5 linked regions of the Xenopus tropicalis genome follow. The protein of the gene in region 2 purifies or fractionates together with the protein of the main gene of each other region. This does not show direct contact. Links are inferred from orthologs where the notes say so. Each region holds a gene or a part of one and is shown on either strand. Other genes may lie near its edges.

Region 1 (4,304 bases), on a different chromosome or scaffold from region 2:
AAAGGTCTCAAACATGATCTGTAATGGTTGAAAAGGCAATTAGCACATTACCTGCATAAAGGCATCCAAAACTCATGCATGTGTAGTTTCAGAACAGCATTTGATTTTGCTGCACACAACACAAATTTAGGCAGGGCCAATGTGAGGAAAAACACAAGCAAAGTGAACTTTGAAAAACAAGCCATCATTCAGCACTTTTCACACAACGCTAACATTGTTAGTATTCTACCCTTGATGTAAAACAGGCAAATACTGAAAAAAAACCTTTGAGATTCCAGTAAACTTTGAGGCCAGGACAGCCCTGTAAGGAATAGCAATTATATAATTAAAAAACAAAAAACACAAAACAAAACCCACAACCCAAACCCTCACACCAGAAAACAGGTAACATACCTGCGTCATTTTCTCCCGGTTAGCTTTGGGATTCAAGGGTGCTTCTGTCAGCAGCACTGGGTGTTCCTCTGGGGCCACTCTGAGTTCATTGTAGAAGGTATGATGCCAGATCTTCTCCATATCATCCCAGTTAGTGACAATGCCATGCTCAATAGGATATTTGAGTGTAAGAATACCTCTTTTGCTTTGAGCTTCGTCTCCTACGTAGCTATCTTTCTGTCCCATTCCAACCATGACACCCTAAAATAAAGCGTAAGACAATTTGGACTAAATTAAGTAATTTAGTAAATGAAAAGCATGCCTTAATTCAATACTAGCCAGACAATGGAATGAATAAAGTGGATTTTCATGGACCTCACATAATGCAGACTTTAAGAGGAAATTCTAGAGTAAAAGCTCTTTTGGGCAGGGCCCTCTAATTTCGTAATACTTCCTGTCATCTTGTGCTTACAGGAAACAAGAGTATGCAAGAACATTTGCTATGTTAACCACGCCCCTGTGTATTTCACAAATAAACAGAAGTAGGCAATTTGCAAAGAATATGGAAATGTAGTGTGCAAAGTACAATATATATATCATATTAAATATCTATATACACACACTTAACCTGCACTTAATTAAAATATTTTTCCATTTAAATTAAACCACATTACACTCTGAAAAGAAATTCTTTTCATGCAGGGTTGGAAAATGTAACTGGCTTTAGCACTTACACAGCATAAGTCAATAAACAGGGTTTGTGTGGACAGTATAAAGAGTTTATTTTAAATATGCCTACTCCTAGTTTCAGCCTTGCCGAGAAGTGCCCAAAACCAGCTTAAAGGAATAACCGACACAAGCCTAGGGCACAAGAGTTGGGGGGTGCCCTAGGCACAGCTATTTATGTGATTATTCCTGCCTGCAGTGTTTATTTGAAAGAGTAAAAAAAAAAAAAAAAATAAAAAAAATTGCATCATCTTATGCAACACTTTTTGGAAACTATCCTTACGTGTATGGTTTAAAAACACTCAATGGCAAATATATTGTTACCAACATACCTATAACCCATGCAGAATTGCAGTTTTATTTGCCCCCAGATTAGTTTCACCTTTAACAGTTAAATACATAAAAAAAAAAAAAAAATGTTTTACCTCCTTGGGACAACACACTGATTTGTTAGAGGTGCTTTACTAGTTTTATTTCTAGGTTTTATTTAGACATGAAATGAAAAAGGCATGAAAAGGGCATACCTGATGTCTTGGGCGACCAACAATGGATGGGAAAACAGCACGGGGTGCATCATCACCTGCAAAGCCGGCTTTGCACATACCAGAACCATTGTCAACGACCAGTGCAGCAATATCGTCGTCCATTGTAATCTGAAATTTAAAAAATAAATAAAATTGAGATAATTATCCACCCAAATTATGAGCGCTGGTATATACCACAAGGACGCTTCCTGCCCATTACTTGCATTTCATAAGGTCTGTCACAAGAGGGCGCAGGGGTTTGCACCATTTCTGTACAGATTTAGACAAAGGGAAATCGATTTATTTTCTGTATTACCAAATAAGGCAACAGCAAAGATTTACACAAGCACCCCTCCCATCCAGCCATGGATAGTGAAGGTGTGGCAAAGAAACAAGTCACTGCTGGTATTAGGCAATCGAACCAACCGACTACCACTCCCAATGTTTCATGAAGGCAACACTACAGGACAGAATCACATACTGCAGGTGTGACTCCGTTTTTACCAGTGCAAGGACAAAATAAATATATAAGATGTAACTTGCGCTTTTGTATTCTAGTTACGGATATACATGCATATGGAAAGTCTAAACCGAAGCGGGAGAGAACTACCGCCAATATATTTTAGACAGCAAAAGGCTGTTCCGACACAGATTGCATCACACACTTATACACAATATGTAGCTTTGTGTGCAGCCTCACACTAACATCGGCAGGGAACCGCCCAATCGCACATCCCCAAGCGGCGCTGCTATTGGGGGCTCAGTTTACAGAAGAGGAAACGATACAAAAAAAAAACAAAACCCTATTTTTAAATGCAACTTACAAGTTAAACCTGCTGTAACAGAAAAATGGTTCCCCAGCTCTCCAGTATGTACAACCTACAACTTCCAGTGTCCTTTATCAATTAAGATCTAATTAAGCATATAAGGAACTGAACTTTAGCACAATTCCAGAACCAGGCTTCACGCTTGTCTACTAACAAGTCTTACCTTCAAGTAAATAACGCTACATTAAGCTACCAACTATTTCAAGCACATTATGAAAAACATAGCCAATTAGAACCAAATCATGCTTATTCTAATAATATATAGAGAAAAATAGGCGAATAGAAGCAGGAAATAGCAGAGGAAAAGCACAACAATAGCAGGCTCGGCGCTACTTGCCTGAGAGTACGACACACACACTGTCCTGTTTCTGTGCGGGCGGGTCACTGAGCAGTTGTCGGGCTAGGGCGCCGGTTTTATGCTGCGCGCCCCAGCCGGCTGCACCATATAAGGAGCGTTCCAGGAACTGGGAAGCTGATTGGCTGTAGGAACTGCGGGCGAAGGGGGCGCGTAGAGTGAGGCAGTTACACCTACTAGCTAGGATGCGGATACGTATATACACAGATACGTACATACATAGATATCAATATACATATATATGTTTCATTAAATCTACACTTAGATATACCACGCCTTATCCTTTCCATTAATTGCTGTATAATAAAGGGCGCGGTGCAGAACTCTTTCTTTTTATATTCTTTATTGGCCTGAAATGATTTACTCTCTTAAAACATGGCTTTGCAAAGCAGATAGTCTGCACGTTTATGTCTGCAGAAATGTCAGGACCAAATGCAGTTCGTTAGGATTTCTGCAGCCTGCCGAGACAGTAAGCTTTGTAACGTTACAGTGACGCACTGCATTGTGTTGCGTACAATCCATGAATACAGTGACTCGATTGCACTTCTTGTCTCTAGCGCCAGCATATTGTGATAGTGCCTAGTTATTTCTTCATGTATGGCTGTGTTGTAAGGGAAAGAAAAGTATCATTATAGCACATATTTCCTTATATAAACACTTTTAAATCGCCTTCCCTGCTCTGAGTCAGCGATACTGCTCTTTGTCCATACTTCCATTTCCTATGCAGGTCAACCATTTGTTATTTAACTTTACAGTTTACAGCTCTACAATGACCTCTGGTACTCATAAACGTATTTATTGGTTAAGCTGATACTGTCGAAGATCATCCGTCCCCCTGAGAATAAAATGCAACGTATGTAAGGAAAAAAAATCTAAACTAATCTAAAGTAAAACATTTGGAGCCCCATGCAGTAACTGGAATGTGAGCTCCCCAAGTAACCAACCCTCATATCAGCAAAGACCAAGTTTATCAGCAAAGTCTAAGTTTACTATGACTATGACCTTCCCTGCCAATCTCACTCATATGTTTTTTGAAGCCTGAAGAACATGCTTTTTCACCCAGGTGCAAAAAAAAAACAAAAGAATGCAAGGGTCAGCAAATTTAGACCCTCCTTTAAAATGGAAAGAATGAATGCCCCCCCAGCGAGGAGGCCTGAAGGGGCAGGTGTCTTAGGCCCTCTTCATCAGGTCTAGGGGAGTCCTATTTATCCCCTACCCTGAAGCCAAAAGTCCTACAACTGTAGTGGTCTATAGACTGTCCTTTACCTCAGCTAGATAGGATCCCTTCACAGTTGTGGTTTCACAAAAGCTAGGGGTAAAAGAGCTTAATAGCCAGATGTTAGAGCTGGAGACCTGATTGGCTCCAAACGTGAAATAAAAAGTTAAAGTGACAAAACAAAATTAGTAGATAAATATAAAAACATAAAAAGTGCTGCTTACAGCTCTGACCTTCTGGCAACAGTATAAAAATAGTCTTTGCTTAGCCAGACATGCAAAAGA
Region 2 (3,514 bases):
ACTTTTTCATCTCTATGAGGGTTTATTCTAGCTATATGAAAGCCAGAACTATACAACGTTATCAGAATAATACTACCTTCAACTGAAGAATAGATATCTAATTAAGTCAATTAAAAATGAGAAATGTCAATCTACATATAACTTACTTCTTATTCCATCCGCTGTAGTGAATGAAGTACTTCACTTGTTTGTCCTTAATGGCAACTTTCACACACTAATATAAAAAGAAAGATCAAACTTTATCTAGTACTCAGAAATGCAAGCATATGACATGAGCTATGAGCAAAATAGTATGCCCATCCTGAAAAAAGGAGTATAGTATTTTCCCTATCTCAGCGGTTGTCAGACTGTTTGCATCTAGCCTTTGTTCTTTCAGGTGCATCCTAAAGAGCAAATGGGTATGCCCCAAAAATAGGCCTTCAGACACAGTCCCATCTGATGCTGTTCCATGCCCTCTCAGGAATAGACCTTACATTTTAGGAACCGCTGTTTGGGTAACATACACGGGACGATTCTAGCTGCCAGTATCGGTCCCTTAGACAGATTCGGCAGCTTATCAGCACGTGTTTGGACACTAACGACAGACCCGCCCGACCAACATCTGGCCTGAAATTGGGCAGATCTCGATCGGGCAGGTTTGAATATTAGTTGGATCGGGGCCCGCGACAGCTCGTTGATGCGGTCCCTGAACCGACGGACGTCTATACACATTGTTCTAAATTGATTACTTGCGACCTTGCCAAGCAAGTGGGTCTTGGCCTGTATGGCAACCATAACTTTTTTATAAATGAGATAAACTGCATACACACTTTACAAACATTTTCTGCAAACAGTCTCCTCAAGACAGCATTTTGCTTTGTTTGCCTTTGTTTGACTGAAAACCGCATCCAATTCTGTTAATTTAACAGCTACAGTCATGCCATTCAACAGTCTAACTTTTTCTATAACCTGCTTCCCATGTTTTAAAATAGGGCACCCAATGCATACCTGCTGTGAAACCCCTCTGGATACATATACATGTGCACAGGCTCAAGAATGCAGCCAATGCAATGCAGATGCCAAGACTTTGAGCTCAGCAGGAGACTTGAGCAGCCATTCCTAAACCTGCTGTGACTTCTCTACTGAGCCTGCTTGCCCCAGACCACCCAGAATATATACTTCTTGTCAGAGGAGGCAAGTACAGCAGGATTATACATCACAACAATTGATCTGTGGTAGACTAATCAAGTACAAACTTTATATATTCCAGCAATAAGGGCAACGGTGAAAATCGCTGTAATCTCTATTTCTTGTATCATAAGCCTGCAGTACAAAATCACATGAACAGCAGCCCTATAATTGAATTATCTTTCTGTTAAGAAACCAATTTAACCCTTCGAAGGACTGGGTTAGAAATGCATCTATAAAGTATTTTAGGCAGAGGGGGGTGAAAGCTCTACTCATAACATAACTTACTGTATTACTGTACTTTCTGTAATTTGGATCTCCATAACTTAAGTCTGTTAAAATGGAGTCTATGGGAGATGTCCTTTCTGTAATTCAGAACTTTCTGAATAACGGGTTTCTGGATAAGGGATCCCATACCTGTACTATGTAAGTAAATGATCCATGTTATCTCTACCCAGCTACATCATAAATGGGGGATGTAATTTACAGAGAATTGCTTTTCTGCATCCACAAATAAGAGCTCTACACCCTTATGGGTCATTATTGTACTCAGTAGATCAATGATGTTCTTATGTGAAGTTTAATTCATAGTAAAAAAAAACAAAAACCTCATATAGGGCAAAGGCACATAGGTTTTTAATTGTCCAGAGATCTGGTAGAAATTCATCTGAACCATAGACATGACAGGCTTTTCATAGACATAGGCTTGTCAGGCAATGGTAGCCTTAAAAATCTGTGCTGTCGGGCAATTTAGTATAGTGTTTCTAAGCTAAAGTACCCAAAATAGTCCCAGGTGTCATTGGCAAGAGGCCAACTTAAATTTTTAATCACCTTCCTTAACATTCATAAAGTTTAACAAAGAAATAATAGTGTGTTCATATTTAGTACAAAGCCTACCTTAGCTTCATAAAGCAGAGGACCATGAAAACACAAGACACGCTCACCTATGAGAAAAGACAAAATTTAATGCCAAGAGAAGTATATGTGCTAGATCACAAGAAACAAGCACACTCAAACCTGTTCCCTACGGATTTTGAGGCTGACTAATGTTATTAAATCTGCCTCATACAGCATATAAATCCCTGCATTGGCTGTTTGCCTCCCTCCATTTAGACAGAAAGTAATGAAATGCATTAATAAACGTTATTGTTATTTGTAGTGGATCAGGTGGACACTACGCAGTGCATAAAAATAAGCAGATAAGCTGTTTAGAGAGTCATGGTTTTGGTATTTTTCTATTTAGTCATCTTACCAGGGAACCCTTTTGCATAGCAACAAACATGCTCAGGAAAATTCTATACTGCACATCTAGCTAGGTGCAAGTGATCCCCTGGTAAATACAGATGCAATGGCAGCTTATAAATATAAAGATCCACCTCATTCTACATTGTGTAAGACGCCAGCCTGGGTGGAAAAATTCAGTGGGGGTTCCTAATATAATGGAATAATACCCTGCCATTAATTAGACTTTAGTTGTCTTTTAAAGCACAATACACTAAGCACTAACAATTGAAAAAAAAGACCTTGTTTATATGTGGTGAGTACATAAGCTAATTTCCTATTACTGCTCATTAAGGCTACAGTTACACAGAGCCCTTCTGTGTCTGCACTAACAGGGGCCACACGCAGCGGATATCGGTGCTGAAATAGGAGTATGCATTTTCATTTCTGAAATAAGCTCCGCGTGTCTGCACACAGGCAGACTCATCTCTTACAATGTAGCTTCCACCCACATACAGTGATGACGCAGTGACCTCTAGTGGCAAATTGCCTACTATGTTTCCTTATATAACTGCTTCTGAATAAAGGGGCTCTCAAACAAGGTGTAACTTTGTATTGCTTAAATAAGGGGGAAATGTATATTGCTTTCTAAATCCATAACAGTATTATTATTAAGAACTATATCGGTTACATAGGTTAGACGTGTGAACAGGACCTGGGCTTAGAAACAGAGCGTACATTTTTTTCCTGTATAATTGCTATTCTAAAACACAAGGATGTTAGAATTAAGGAGTTCCATATCCATATAAATGGCATGAGGCCGAAGTAAAAGTGCTTTTATATAGCTCATGACACTCTACAAAGATGGGGAGACATAATTTTTTTTTTCTAATAATACATAAGTTACAGTAAGTCACTGACAAGTTATTAAAGGGCACCTTAATAGGCGCTTAAGGGGTGACATGATAACTATGTATAAATATATAAGGGGATCATATAATAATCTCTCTAATGTTTTATTTACCAGTAGGTCCTTCCAACGGACACGAGGGCACCCACTCCGTTTAGAAGAAGGGAGGTTCCATTTAAACATTCGGAAAGGATTTTTTACTGCGAGAGCTGTGAA
Region 3 (3,514 bases), about 110 Mb from region 2:
CTTGTGCACATTACAGGTGCTCCACCTCTTTCACGGTGCTCTGCTCTCCCACATGATCCACAGTTCCCCTGCTATTTAGACAGGGCTATTCTCCTGCGCTCTTCCCAGGACTCTCCCACTGCTCAGGCCAGTATTGAGACTGCTCCAGGGGTTTGCCCTGGACCAATTCTTGGGCTTTTTAGATCTCTTTCCTTAACAGTGCCTAATCTCTTACTACTACTTGTCAAGGTAGGTGACCAGTACTAGTCTATCCTGGCCTCATTGTGTGACCCCTCTCCCCAATGAGATTCCACAGTGAGTGATCTCAGGTCCCTTGGGTTACCTGTTGTACAGAATCAGCCATTGCCTTCCCTTTTACAACATATGTTGTAGAGTTTGTTCAGTGTCCAGATTTCTTCTCTCACCTATTTTTTTATGTTGTATAGATGTCATCGAGTTGAAAGTCATGCTGGAGGATGCGGAAGATAGGAAGTTTCCAGAGAACGATCTGTACCGCAAACTCCGGGATGCCGTTAAGGAGGCAGAAACCTGTGCATCTGTTGCCCAGTTGCTACTCACCAAAAAACAAAAGCACAAGTATGAGTTGTTTCACATGAATAGCAGTGTACCCCGGCAGGGCATCAGTTTAACAGCTCCTTATAATCTTTACCTGGAAATACCAAAGGCTAATGGCTAGGGATGCACCGAATCCAGGATTCGATTCGGTATTCAGCCTTTATCTCAGGGTTCGGATTTGGCCGAAGCCACGGTCTTGGCCGAACCAAATCCTAATTAGCATATGCTGCATATGTCGCCGCATAAACATGGAAGTGTAAATTTTTTAACATTTAACCCTTCCAGATCCTAACTAGCATATGCTAAGTAGGATTCAGATTTGGTTCGGTGTTCAGTTGAATGCCTTAATGTGGATTCGGTGGTTCGGCCGAACCCGAAAAACTGGTTTCAGTGCATCCCTACTAATGGCACAACCTCTGTTTTTCCCATTTGCTAAGAAATGGAGATGCCAGACGAAACTGCCCCTTTGAGTAGTGACAGGTGGTGTCAGCGTGACCCATTGGTCTTACAATTCCTCACTTACCATGGAATTTATAAATGTTTAACAGCCCTAATATGTTGTCATGATGTTTTAACATTTCTTCAATTTAAATAATGCTGCAGTCCTTCTGTATGTGTTTGTTTGGAACAGGGCAGGTTCTGTCGCAGTCTCTTAAGTGTTTATTGTTTTGCAGCAGATTAAACCCAGAATATGGGAAGACTCGCACCAAACTTACCATGGAGGAGCTCAAAGCCTTTGTGCATCAGCTGTTCAGCCTGCCCTGCATTATCTCTCAGGCCCGACAGGTTAAGGTGGGTGAAACAAAAATAAGCACTGCTTAAGCTCTCTTGTGTTTCTGGCTGGGCTTGCTATAGAGAGATCCTCAGTTCCACAGCAGTGAAACGTGGCCTCTGCAGGTTGCATACTTTGTATTTGGGATCATAGAGAGTAACATGCACCATATTCCTTATAGGATCATGAAATCTGTAACCTGCTTATATGATGGAGCATTGTCCATAGAACAGAGGCCTTCACCTTAAAGCAGTTTATAAAAAAAAAATTACCTTCGATGCAGCCAGCTGTTCTTCTGCACACAGATACTAAGTGGGGTGCCGTTATTGCTCCCACCACTGGGGATATCCTTGTTTTTTTTTCTCTTTGGTTTTCTCCCCTGAGAGCCATTCCATACCCTGGCACATTTCTTTTCTTTGAGAAATGATTTGGTGGTTCATCAAGTTTTATCAAAGAGGCATACAATCATATTCTCAGTTATAGGGGGTATATATATGTTGAAATTAATGCTTTGGCTGCAAAGTGCCAAGCAGTGGGGTGGAACCGAAAAGGAGTAATCATAACTGCTGAGCTGTCTTTGTCCCGAGTTGCTGTTAGAATAAGAAATAAAAGAAAGTTTTGAGTGTAAGAGCTTTAAGAGCCATTGATACTACATTGTACATTCTTGTTTCCTTTTTCCAATCATAGAACCTGCTTGACGACGTGGAGGAGTTTCATGAACGCGCGCATGAAGCCATGCGTGACGATATCCCTGACTCCAGCAAGCTTCAGGCTCTCATAGACCTCGGCTCCAGCTTGTATGTAGAACTTCCAGAACTGCCACGGTTAAAGCAAGAACTTCTGCAAGCCCGTTGGCTTGACGAGGTGCGGCAGACTTTGTCAGACCCTCACAGGGTTACTTTGGATGTGATGAAGAAACTGATTGACTCTGGAGTGGGTCTGGCACCCCATCACGCAGTGGAGAAAGCAATGGCAGACTTACAGGAACTGCTCACAGTATCGGAGAGGATGGAAGAGAAAGCCAAAACATGTCTGCAAGCCAGGTAAGAGACAAGAAGTGCTTGTTCCCAGACTGCATTTGGGGAATGTTTTCTGATTTTATTCTAAATTGCAAGATTTTTCTTTTAACAATTTTTATTTTTGTTTGCCCTTCCAGGCCACAGCACAGTATGGGAGGTATTGAGAGCATCATCGTGGAAGCCAAGAACATCCATGCATATCTGCCCAATGTGCTTGCTCTTAAGGAAGCCCTGCAAAGGGCTAAAGATTGGACAGCTAAAGTGGAGGCCATTCAGGTATAGAGAAACATGGTGCACATTATTCTGACAATATTATCATTTCAGGGGGGCACAGGCAATGGAGAGTTAACACATCTTTCCAGGAGGAAAGGACACCAAAAGGTCAAATGTTTTAACAGCCCACGCTCAGGGGCAGGAGTTTTGGCTCCATTCCCTCGGTTCCTGAGCAGGGGGGACCATGGGGGGATGGACACTGGCTGATACTACAGCCTGCCTCTGGTCTACAGGCTGGGGTGTAGCTTAGACCCCTGGGGCTACACAGTGGAGCAGGGACCTTGGCTCAGATCCCCCTGTCACAGAAGCACTCACAGGCTCTGGAGAGGAGCCTTGCCAGCTCAATGTTACGGTCTGGAGTATGAGGAAGCTCGTAGACTGCTAGTACAAACCATTTAGGTGAAGTAGAAGAGCCCTGGCAACCCTGGTTTTCACAGATGCCCTTTTGGGGCCCTGGACTTTCTGCTGGGGGAAGACAGGGATTCTAAACACTACCAAGGTTGATACGAAAACGCAGTACCAATAGGATCAGGCAGAGGCAACCTCAGTGTCAGGCAATTGTCAAAGGCAGGCAGTGGAGATTCAGTGTAAAAAAACAGAGTAAAAAAATCAGTATAGCAAATGAAACAAGGCTTTAGCTATGATCTAGAAAATTAGAACCAGCTTAGGCAAAGAAAATAAACAAAGTTTGAATTTGGTGCCAAAATGACGTCAGCAAATCACAGAGGGTTCCTCCGACGAGTAGTCCCATCAGACAGATCCTTCTCCCTTTGTTCTCCTTGTTTTAACGGCCCTCAATGTCTCAGCACCCATCTTATCAGACCCCTACAAGGATCTTATCAAGCAACAGAAGAAGACATTCAGAGCCTTCCCCTGACACGAACAGCTCTTCTTG
Region 4 (3,977 bases), on a different chromosome or scaffold from region 2:
TGTGTATGGGGGGGTACTGTGTATGGGGGGGCTGCTGTGTATGGGGGGCTGCTGTGTACGGGGGCACTCTTTATGGGGGGTTACTGTGTATGGGGGGGCTACTGTGTATAGGGGGCACTGTTTATGGGGGGCTACTGTGTATGGAGGGACTGTGTATGAGGGAGCTACTGTGTACGGGGGACACCTGTGTATGGGGAAGCAAAACTGCTACATAGTTATAACTCACTTATAACTGATTGCCTTCTCTCTATATTTGTATTTTAATGTTGGAGTTGCTATATTGTTTTCCTTAGGTAGTACAGTATGAGGGTATAGCACATTTGCGTCTGATCCCACCATTTCATCTATATAAAAGGAGTATTTCTTTTTAAAATGGGGTGTGGTAATTGGGGCGTGGCAACAAAAATGGGCGGGGTCAAAATTGCCTCCAAGTCTTTTTGTCCCTCTTTTCATTTTTCAAATGTTGGGAGGTATGCTTAGGGTAGCAAACCAGTAAAAAATGACATTTAAAACAAGCATTACGAAGGTGGGCTTTTACTTCCAGAAGAGATTTGCACCCTAGCCCATCCAGGCTATCCTGCTATATCTACGTTTTCCAGAACACAACACCAATTGAGTTTTCCTCTTTCCTATTAATCGCAACCCTATCCACTGCCAATTTTGTAGGCTAAGCTGTTAAACCCCGAGGTCTGCGGCACTGAATACATTTCGTTCTGATAGTGGAAGATAGCAATTCTAACGATCACGAAGCTCCCGCATCCCTTCGGCTCAAGCTTTTGAAAACTCTATCTTCTACATTTCCCTAATGAATGCTGCTCCACTGCTTGAGAACGGGAAGGTTCCTACTTAAAACAAATGTTATCGGTATAATAGGTTCATACTTCCTACAGAATAACTACCTAAAATTATTACAATTCACTCCGCACATTAGGAAAAAAAAACACGCTACTACTTTACGCCATGCCAAAATTAAACATGGCCGCGAAACTTTCGGCCTCCCCGCCTCCTTTTACGTAACCAGGTTATTTTCCTCTGATTGGTCAGCCTTGTCCTAGCGTTTGGCGCTAGCCCTTGCGTAAGCGAAGGCGACGGCGGCGGCGTGCCTGTCTGTAACTTTGGCGGGGGATGTTGATGCTGCGTCACTGGTAGTCTTTCTTCTTCTTGTGAGTGTTTGGCGCGGGAAGCTGCAGCAGGACCGGCACAAGCGCGGAACACTGGGTTTTTAGTCACCGCGAGGCCGGCGGCCCTTGCATCTGCACAGGAGTAGAGAAGATGGCGAATAAAGAGAGTAAGTGGGCAGAAAGCTGCTTTATGAGCACGTTTTGGGTTTCTAAAGGGACGGTACTGGGGATGCAGGCATGCTATCCGGGTGCTACCGATTATGACACAGTTTTATATTAAGAAGCTGTGGCCGCTTTGTTTACTGCACCGCTTGTGGTGTGTATGGGAGGCATACCGGATTCTCTTAGGCCTTATCCTACCGCGTAGGCTTGCTGGCTACGGTCCCTATTGCTGGCCTGTAAGGCTCTGGGCCCTCAATTAGAAGAGGGAGTTTATAGTTTGGCACTGTAAGTCGCTACATTTAGTTCCACTACAAGCCAGTTGCCAGGCAGTATTAAAAAATGTAAGATGGGGGATCGACAAAGTGATGAGAATTTTAAGTTAAAACACATTTAGAAATGTAGGTATTGCCTTGTGTAAAGTTGGACTGATCTTTCTTGGGAAACAGAACCAGAGCTTTCTTACTTGCACCACAATAAATGTATGGCATGTGTAACTTTGGTCTGACAGGCCAGACGGCATCAGATACGCTTGTCTGGTGTCTGGTGAAACTGGTAGAATTCTTCACAGGCTGCACACACCTATTCCATCTTTAAACATTTCCTTACATTAAATCCTCCTGTTCTTTTGAGTGATTTACTAATGAGTAAGGTATCGGGCAAGTTTTTTTTTTGTATGGAATCATTAGAAATGTGTTCCTTGTGCCTGAAGTTGTAGAAGTTTCTGCGCCTACAGGGGCAAGTGTGCCTCATAAGCAGGCAGATAGGTTTTTGAGGTGCTGTGGCTCTTCCTTGAGGGCCCATAACTGTTAAACATGCACAGGGCTTGGGCTAGTGTCAGATGATCAGCATCTCAAAATAGAGAACACAGTACAGTTATCCAAAATGCTTGGTACCAAGGGTATTCTGGATAAAGGATCTTTAAGTATTTTGGATCTCCATACTTTGTCTACTAAAACAATCAGTAAAATATTAAATAATCCCAATAGGATTGTCTTGCATCCAATAAGGAATAATTATATTATTATTATGCTCTCTTCACCTCTTGTATTGGTTATTTATTGCTTTATATGTTACTCTGTATGTCCAATGTATGAAACCCACTTATTGTACAGTGCTGCAGAATATGTTGGCGCTTTATAAATAAGTGTTAATAATAATAGATCCCATACCTGTACAGGGTTCTCCTATGGTTACAGTACAGGTAGATAAATGCCAGCTGATACTGATGAATGTTGTGATAAGTGTTCCAATAATCACTTTATCTTTTTGTTAAAGGGATAATGAACTTGCGGTGTGTCTTGCTGGACACTGGCTATATGGGCACTGACTGATGTTATGGTGCATCCTATAGATCTGGGTCTGCCCAGCAAACCAATGCTGCTTTCTTCCAACCATGCTAGTTAATCACCGGTGCCACCTACTCCACTTGGTGTAGCTGTTCCGTCTGTGTATTCAGAGAGGCTTCAGATGGGGTTTTTTTGCCTTCCTCTGGATCAGCTAGTAGTTTGGCAGGTTATATATAGGCATTATGGTTGAACGTGATGGACGTATGTCTTTTTTCAACCCAACTTACTATACTATGCTGTGTAGTTCTTATTTCTGGTAGAGCACAGTGGGGAAAATATGTCACTCAAATGATGTTGGATTAAGTTTACTTAATAAATTATCTGATGTTTACATTGAAGCAACTCTGGTTCAACAACAATACATTGGCTGCCTAGTTATACATGCACACCTTATGCAGCATGTAAATGTTTACAAGCAATCAGTGCTGAGAGGTTTGTTAACAGCCAAGTTTTTGTACGTCTGTTTGACCTGACTAAGCAATTTAATGGTTTTTACTGAATTCAAACAGTAATGCATTCTATTCTGAAACATTTTATAATTTTTTTTTCTCTCTAGTGTTTGAAGATACAGTGGAAGAACGTGTCATCAATGAAGAGTATAAGATATGGAAAAAAAATACCCCATTTCTGTATGACCTGGTTATGACCCATGCACTTGAATGGCCAAGTCTAACAGTTCAGTGGCTCCCGGATGTGACTAGGTGATTTTTTATTTTTAAATTCATTTAATAGCAAATTTTAGTTGTTTTACATGATATTTAAAGCATGGTTAACACCTATTGCATTTTAAATACAACATAAGTAAATTGAAAATAAAAAATGATTGATGAACTTTGTATAAAATACTTGTGAAAAAAAACTTTAGTTCCTAGTTGTTGCTCTGTGCTGCAACCAAATACAATTGTAGAAATGCAAAAAATAGGAAAAAAACTTCAGCAGGTTTACTGCAAACCAGTTATTTTGGGTTGTGGTAACACGACATGTTTCGGGTCAATACCCTTTATCCTGCTGAAGCTTTTTTCCTATTTTTTTGGATTTCAACATTATTAAATTACCTAAGGAGCTGTGGGTAGTATCTAAGATTAAAAAATCTATATCATACTTAACAGATTGCCGCTGCCTTTAAATTTTATTTTCTAGATCAGTGCTTATTTTCAGCAAAGTGGGCCAAATATCTAACATTAAATTTTTAGGGGCTTAATTGTATTAACATTTTTCATCTTGTCTATGTGTACTGTGTATACTGTATACAAAGCGCAACAAGAAGCAAATTACATTTGCACATATTTATTAAGTGAACAGTATCCGTACCACAATACTTATATCTTAATTCCAGTACTAAATTTGC
Region 5 (4,164 bases), on a different chromosome or scaffold from region 2:
TTTCAAACAGAACTGTATATAAAACAGTGTCCACACAAAGAATAGAGAAAGATTGTTTTATATCAAGAACCCAGTCCAATACTAAACAAAATCAGAACTCAGATGAGACAGGCAGCCAACAACTCTGTGACCCCCGGCTTCCTGCGCAGTGAAAAGACAGGAAACATTTGGTTCAGGTTCAGTTGGCTGAATATTGCCAGGAATCTCTGGCTTCATCCAATAAGGATTAACTATATCCTAGTTGGGATTAAGTACAGGTACTGTTTAACTATTACAGAGAAAAGGGAATCATTTAACCATTAAATAAACCCAATAGGACTGTTCTGTCCCCAATAAGGGGTAATTATATCTTAGTTGGGATCAAGTACAGGTACTGTTTTATTATTACAGAGAAAAGGGAAATCATTTAACCATTAAATAAACCCAATAGGGCTGTTCTGCCCCCAATAAGGGGTAATTATATCTTAGTTGGGAGCAAGTACAGGTACTGTTTTATTATTACAGAGAAAAGGGAAATCATTTAACCATTAAATAAACCCAATAGGGCTGTTCTGCCCCCAATAAGGGGTAATTATATCTTAGTTGGGATCAAGTACAGGTACTGTTTAACTATTAAAGAGAAAAGGGAATCATTTAACCATTAAATAAACCCAATAGGGCTGTTCTGCCCCCAATAAGGGGTAATTATATCTTAGTTGGGATCAAGTACAGGTACTGTTTTATTATTACAGAGAAAAGGGAATCATTTAACCATTAAATAAACCCAATAGGGCTGTTCTGCCCCCAATAAGGGGTAATTATATCTTAGTTGGGATCAAGTACAGGTACTGTTTTATTATTACAGAGAAAAGGGAATCATTTAAAAAAAATAGAATTATTTGCTTATAATGGAGTCTATGGGATATGGCCTTTCCGTAATTTGGAACTTTCTGGGTAACAGGTTTCTGGATAAAGGATCACAAGAACGCTTGGACAGGCCTCCTCTCGGCTTCCATTAGGTTTCTGTCAATAAAATGCACATCCCATTGGAGGGGACATATTTTCACTCACTCAGAGTTGATTGGCTCTACTATATATGTATGGCACATGGAGAAAGAAAGTGACTAACCGCAGGACAAACGGGAGCTGAAGTGAAAGTGCCACAGAGCCCCATGCTGGGTACACAGACACACCGATGCAGCCAGGCCCAGGCGGTATCAGCGCCATATAGAGAGATAATAGTGTCAGGCTCCCCTCCTGATAGCTTTCCCACAGTCCCACGGTTCGCCTACCTTAGTGACTAGGGTTAACGGAGAGTCCAACTCCCGGCGGAGGGTGGGCGCACTCATTTTGCGTAATGACGTGACGTCACAGTCTCGCAAGATGAGATTTGTGACGCCTGAATTAGCCGCTTGCGGAAGTGCGGGAGACTTTAAGGTGTTGCGGGATATTTAAACAGCGATCTGGCGGTGCGGGATGTGCGGGATGTGCTGAGGAGCCGGACTATTGGGCGGTAGGTCCCACACTGACTCCCTGTATGTGTTTCCCCAGCCGGTCTGTGTGCGGCCCCTTCCTTCTGCCTTTGTACCACATTGCTGTTGGGAATAACACACATGCCAAGGCTAAAGAACTAATCAGATAGTGCAAACATGCTGGGAAAGAAAGTGTGACGGCAGCAGAGAAGGGGGACAAATAGCAGAGTAGGAAGGTACTGAAAAGCAGAATGAAATAAAGTACAAAACAAGAGAAAACAAAAGAATGGGCGTGATGGAGATTAAAATGGTAATATAGAAATAGGGGAGAGAGAGGGTTAAATGAAGGGAAACTAATAGGTGGGATACAATTATTATATTAGCTTAAAGAGATAGGTAAGAAAGGAAACACAGCAGCAAGAGAAGTAGCAGGGCGGATGGGGAAATAGATGTGTCTGTGCTGTATCTGTGTATTACATGTGTGTTGGCCTGGGCTCTGGCTATCCTGGCAATGCAGGGGTTAAAAAACTAACAAAGAAGTGCAGAGAAAATACAGTGAAGATAAGTGGAAATAATAATTCAGGATTTATGGTAAACAAAGAGATGGTGGGACAATAAGGAAAGGTGGAGCAGAAGGTAAATGGGAAAGCAAAGTAAGGAGAATTGGGAAAGCAGCATAAGAATGAGAATACAAGTTTAGAATAATTCTGTAAAGAACAGAGACAATGGTTGTTCGGAGAGAAGGGTACATAAAAAAAGATGGCGGAGCATTAAAGCAAGTAGAGAAAGGCTCTCTGAGAATAAAGCTGGCCATACACGCACCGATACTAGCGTACGAAACCTCGTTTCGTACGATATTCGGTGCGTGTATGGCATGTCGGCGAGTCGACCGATATCACAGGAAGCTGCTGATATCGGTCGACTCGCCGATCGGCCAGGTTAGAAAATTTTGATCGGGCGCCATAGAAGGCGCCTGACCAAAATCTGCCATCAGGGCTGAATCGGCAGAAGGAGGTAGAAATCCTATTGTTTCTACCTCCTTATCTGCTGTTTCAGCCCTGACTGTGTGTGGCGAATCTGACGATGTTTCGTGCGACCGATGGTCGCACAAAACATCGTCAGATCGCCACGTGTATGGCCAGCTTAAGGCTGGAGACCGATGATAGAGAAAAGAAGAGAGTAAAATTCTGGAATAGCAATAAAATTGTTAGAGAAGAACACAAATTTACATATGGAAAAGGTGAAGGGAAAAGCAGGACAGAAACAAAGAAAAAGTAAAGAAAATGTTGGATGTGGGTGAGGTTTTTAAGGAGAAGGAAAGGTAAAAACTAAGTAAGCTTTATTAGAAAGGTCTATGTAAATACAGCCATAAGCACTCACAGAAACGCTGCACTGAGTTCTCTGTCAAAAGATTCGTTGTGTCTGTTTTCCTGTGCCAGAGACACGCAGCTCTTTGCTTTCTGCTCATTCCTTCTCCACCCCTCCCTCAAGAATGCTAAGAACTCACTCCCCCCCTTAGGAATGTGGATCTGAGCCAATCAGCAGGAAGCTGACTCATAGTCTTACTAACTGAGCATGTTCACTTGGTCTGGGTGTCGGTGCAGGAGCACGGCATTATGGGAACTTTCATCTGAACGGGAGAAATATGGGAAGACTTAAGGACACTATTGACTTATGGGCCCTCGCTGTCTTATGAAGTTGTGTAGTACTGCTTTACTGGCGCATTGGTTTTCCAGAAAACTGCCCCTACATACCAGTGAGCTGTTTAGTATCTTCTGCTATCATTTCTGTAGGGGTATGTGATGGGGTTTTTGAGTGATATTTTGGTGATATTCTGAGACAATTTATGCACTTTTTTTCAGCAGCTATCTAGTTTGGAAGTTTATCAGCCATCTGGTTGCTAGGGTACAATTTTACCAGGCAGTGGTTTGAACAAAAGACTCGAAGATGAATAGGGGAGGGCCTGAAAAGAATGATAGATAATAAAAATGAACACATTTGTAGCCTTACAGAGCAATAGAAATTAAGGAAAGGCAAATAACAAAAACTACAAAAATGAACACCAAATAAAAGGTTACATACTGAAAGCAGACTTAAAGTGAACCACCTAACCAATTTTTTTTGTGTGTGTATTTGTGTTTTTATGTAAATAACTGTTTTTCATATCTTGCAGATAATTGGCAAATGAAAGGCCACAGCAAAATTATATCACGGTTAGTAATATCATTTTAATAGTTTGATAACCAATTTCCCATGTTGTTTGATTTTCTAAGCACACCAAGAGAGCTGTGTAATGGCTTATGCCATTCCCTTTTGTGATTCAGATGCCGCTGGGATTAAAGCCAACATGCAGCATGTGCAAAACCAACACATCTTCCATGTGGAAGAAGGGAAACCAGGGGGAGATCCTGTGTAATAACTGCAGTGGCAAGAGCAGCAGCAGCAGCAGCGGTGGTGGAAACAACAACAACAGCGGCGGTGGTGGAAGTACCAGTGGTAGCAGCTCTTATACTGGCACAAACTTTGCAAGTGCATCCACGTCCCAGCAGAGTAATGGTGGGAACACTAAGCAGGTACTGGTGCAATTGGAATTTACTTAGTAATGATTAGTTGTTACAGTTCTACAGTTTGCCAGCAGTTTTTGGTTTTGGGTTTTTTTGTTTTTTTTTGTGGGGGGGGGTTCATACTGGTTATTAAAGGCATATATTATAGT

The links.
Region 1: the proteins of morf4l1 (region 2) and actb purify together in Homo sapiens (affinity purification with mass spectrometry; 3 studies listed by BioGRID, with this or other methods). This does not show direct contact. The link is inferred for Xenopus tropicalis from reciprocal best matches to the Homo sapiens genes MORF4L1 and ACTB.
Region 3: the proteins of morf4l1 (region 2) and kdm5a purify together in Homo sapiens (affinity purification with mass spectrometry; 5 studies listed by BioGRID and IntAct, counting the BioPlex papers as one, with this or other methods). This does not show direct contact. The link is inferred for Xenopus tropicalis from reciprocal best matches to the Homo sapiens genes MORF4L1 and KDM5A.
Region 4: the proteins of morf4l1 (region 2) and rbbp7 purify together in Homo sapiens (affinity purification with mass spectrometry; 5 studies listed by BioGRID and IntAct, counting the BioPlex papers as one, with this or other methods). This does not show direct contact. The link is inferred for Xenopus tropicalis from reciprocal best matches to the Homo sapiens genes MORF4L1 and RBBP7.
Region 5: the proteins of morf4l1 (region 2) and gatad1 purify together in Homo sapiens (affinity purification with mass spectrometry; 7 studies listed by BioGRID and IntAct, counting the BioPlex papers as one, with this or other methods). This does not show direct contact. The link is inferred for Xenopus tropicalis from reciprocal best matches to the Homo sapiens genes MORF4L1 and GATAD1.

Annotation. Positions count from the first base shown.
Region 1 is NC_030685.2:46,572,732-46,577,035, forward strand, and holds the start of actb (actin, cytoplasmic 1), read right to left. Parts: upstream 2,813-4,304; 5' UTR 2,787-2,812; intron 1,752-2,786; 5' UTR 1,746-1,751; coding exon 1,623-1,745; intron 634-1,622; coding exon 394-633; intron 19-393; coding exon 1-18. UniProt on the Homo sapiens protein: Actin is a highly conserved protein that polymerizes to produce filaments that form cross-linked networks in the cytoplasm of cells.
Region 2 is NC_030679.2:118,088,486-118,091,999, forward strand, and holds part of morf4l1 (mortality factor 4-like protein 1), read right to left. Parts: intron 2,112-3,514; coding exon 2,065-2,111; intron 215-2,064; coding exon 147-214; intron 1-146. UniProt on the Homo sapiens protein: Component of the NuA4 histone acetyltransferase (HAT) complex which is involved in transcriptional activation of select genes principally by acetylation of nucleosomal histones H4 and H2A.
Region 3 is NC_030679.2:9,954,958-9,958,471, forward strand, and holds part of kdm5a (lysine-specific demethylase 5A), read left to right. Parts: intron 1-425; coding exon 426-576; intron 577-1,229; coding exon 1,230-1,347; intron 1,348-2,014; coding exon 2,015-2,370; intron 2,371-2,483; coding exon 2,484-2,622; intron 2,623-3,514. UniProt on the Homo sapiens protein: Histone demethylase that specifically demethylates 'Lys-4' of histone H3, thereby playing a central role in histone code. Does not demethylate histone H3 'Lys-9', H3 'Lys-27', H3 'Lys-36', H3 'Lys-79' or H4 'Lys-20'.
Region 4 is NC_030678.2:94,690,838-94,694,814, reverse strand, and holds the start of rbbp7 (histone-binding protein RBBP7), read left to right. Parts: upstream 1-1,177; 5' UTR 1,178-1,272; coding exon 1,273-1,288; intron 1,289-3,185; coding exon 3,186-3,330; intron 3,331-3,977. UniProt on the Homo sapiens protein: Core histone-binding subunit that may target chromatin remodeling factors, histone acetyltransferases and histone deacetylases to their histone substrates in a manner that is regulated by nucleosomal DNA.
Region 5 is NC_030682.2:31,856,286-31,860,449, forward strand, and holds the start of gatad1 (GATA zinc finger domain-containing protein 1), read left to right. Parts: upstream 1-1,364; 5' UTR 1,365-1,492; intron 1,493-3,624; 5' UTR 3,625-3,664; intron 3,665-3,775; coding exon 3,776-4,024; intron 4,025-4,164. UniProt on the Homo sapiens protein: Component of some chromatin complex recruited to chromatin sites methylated 'Lys-4' of histone H3 (H3K4me), with a preference for trimethylated form (H3K4me3).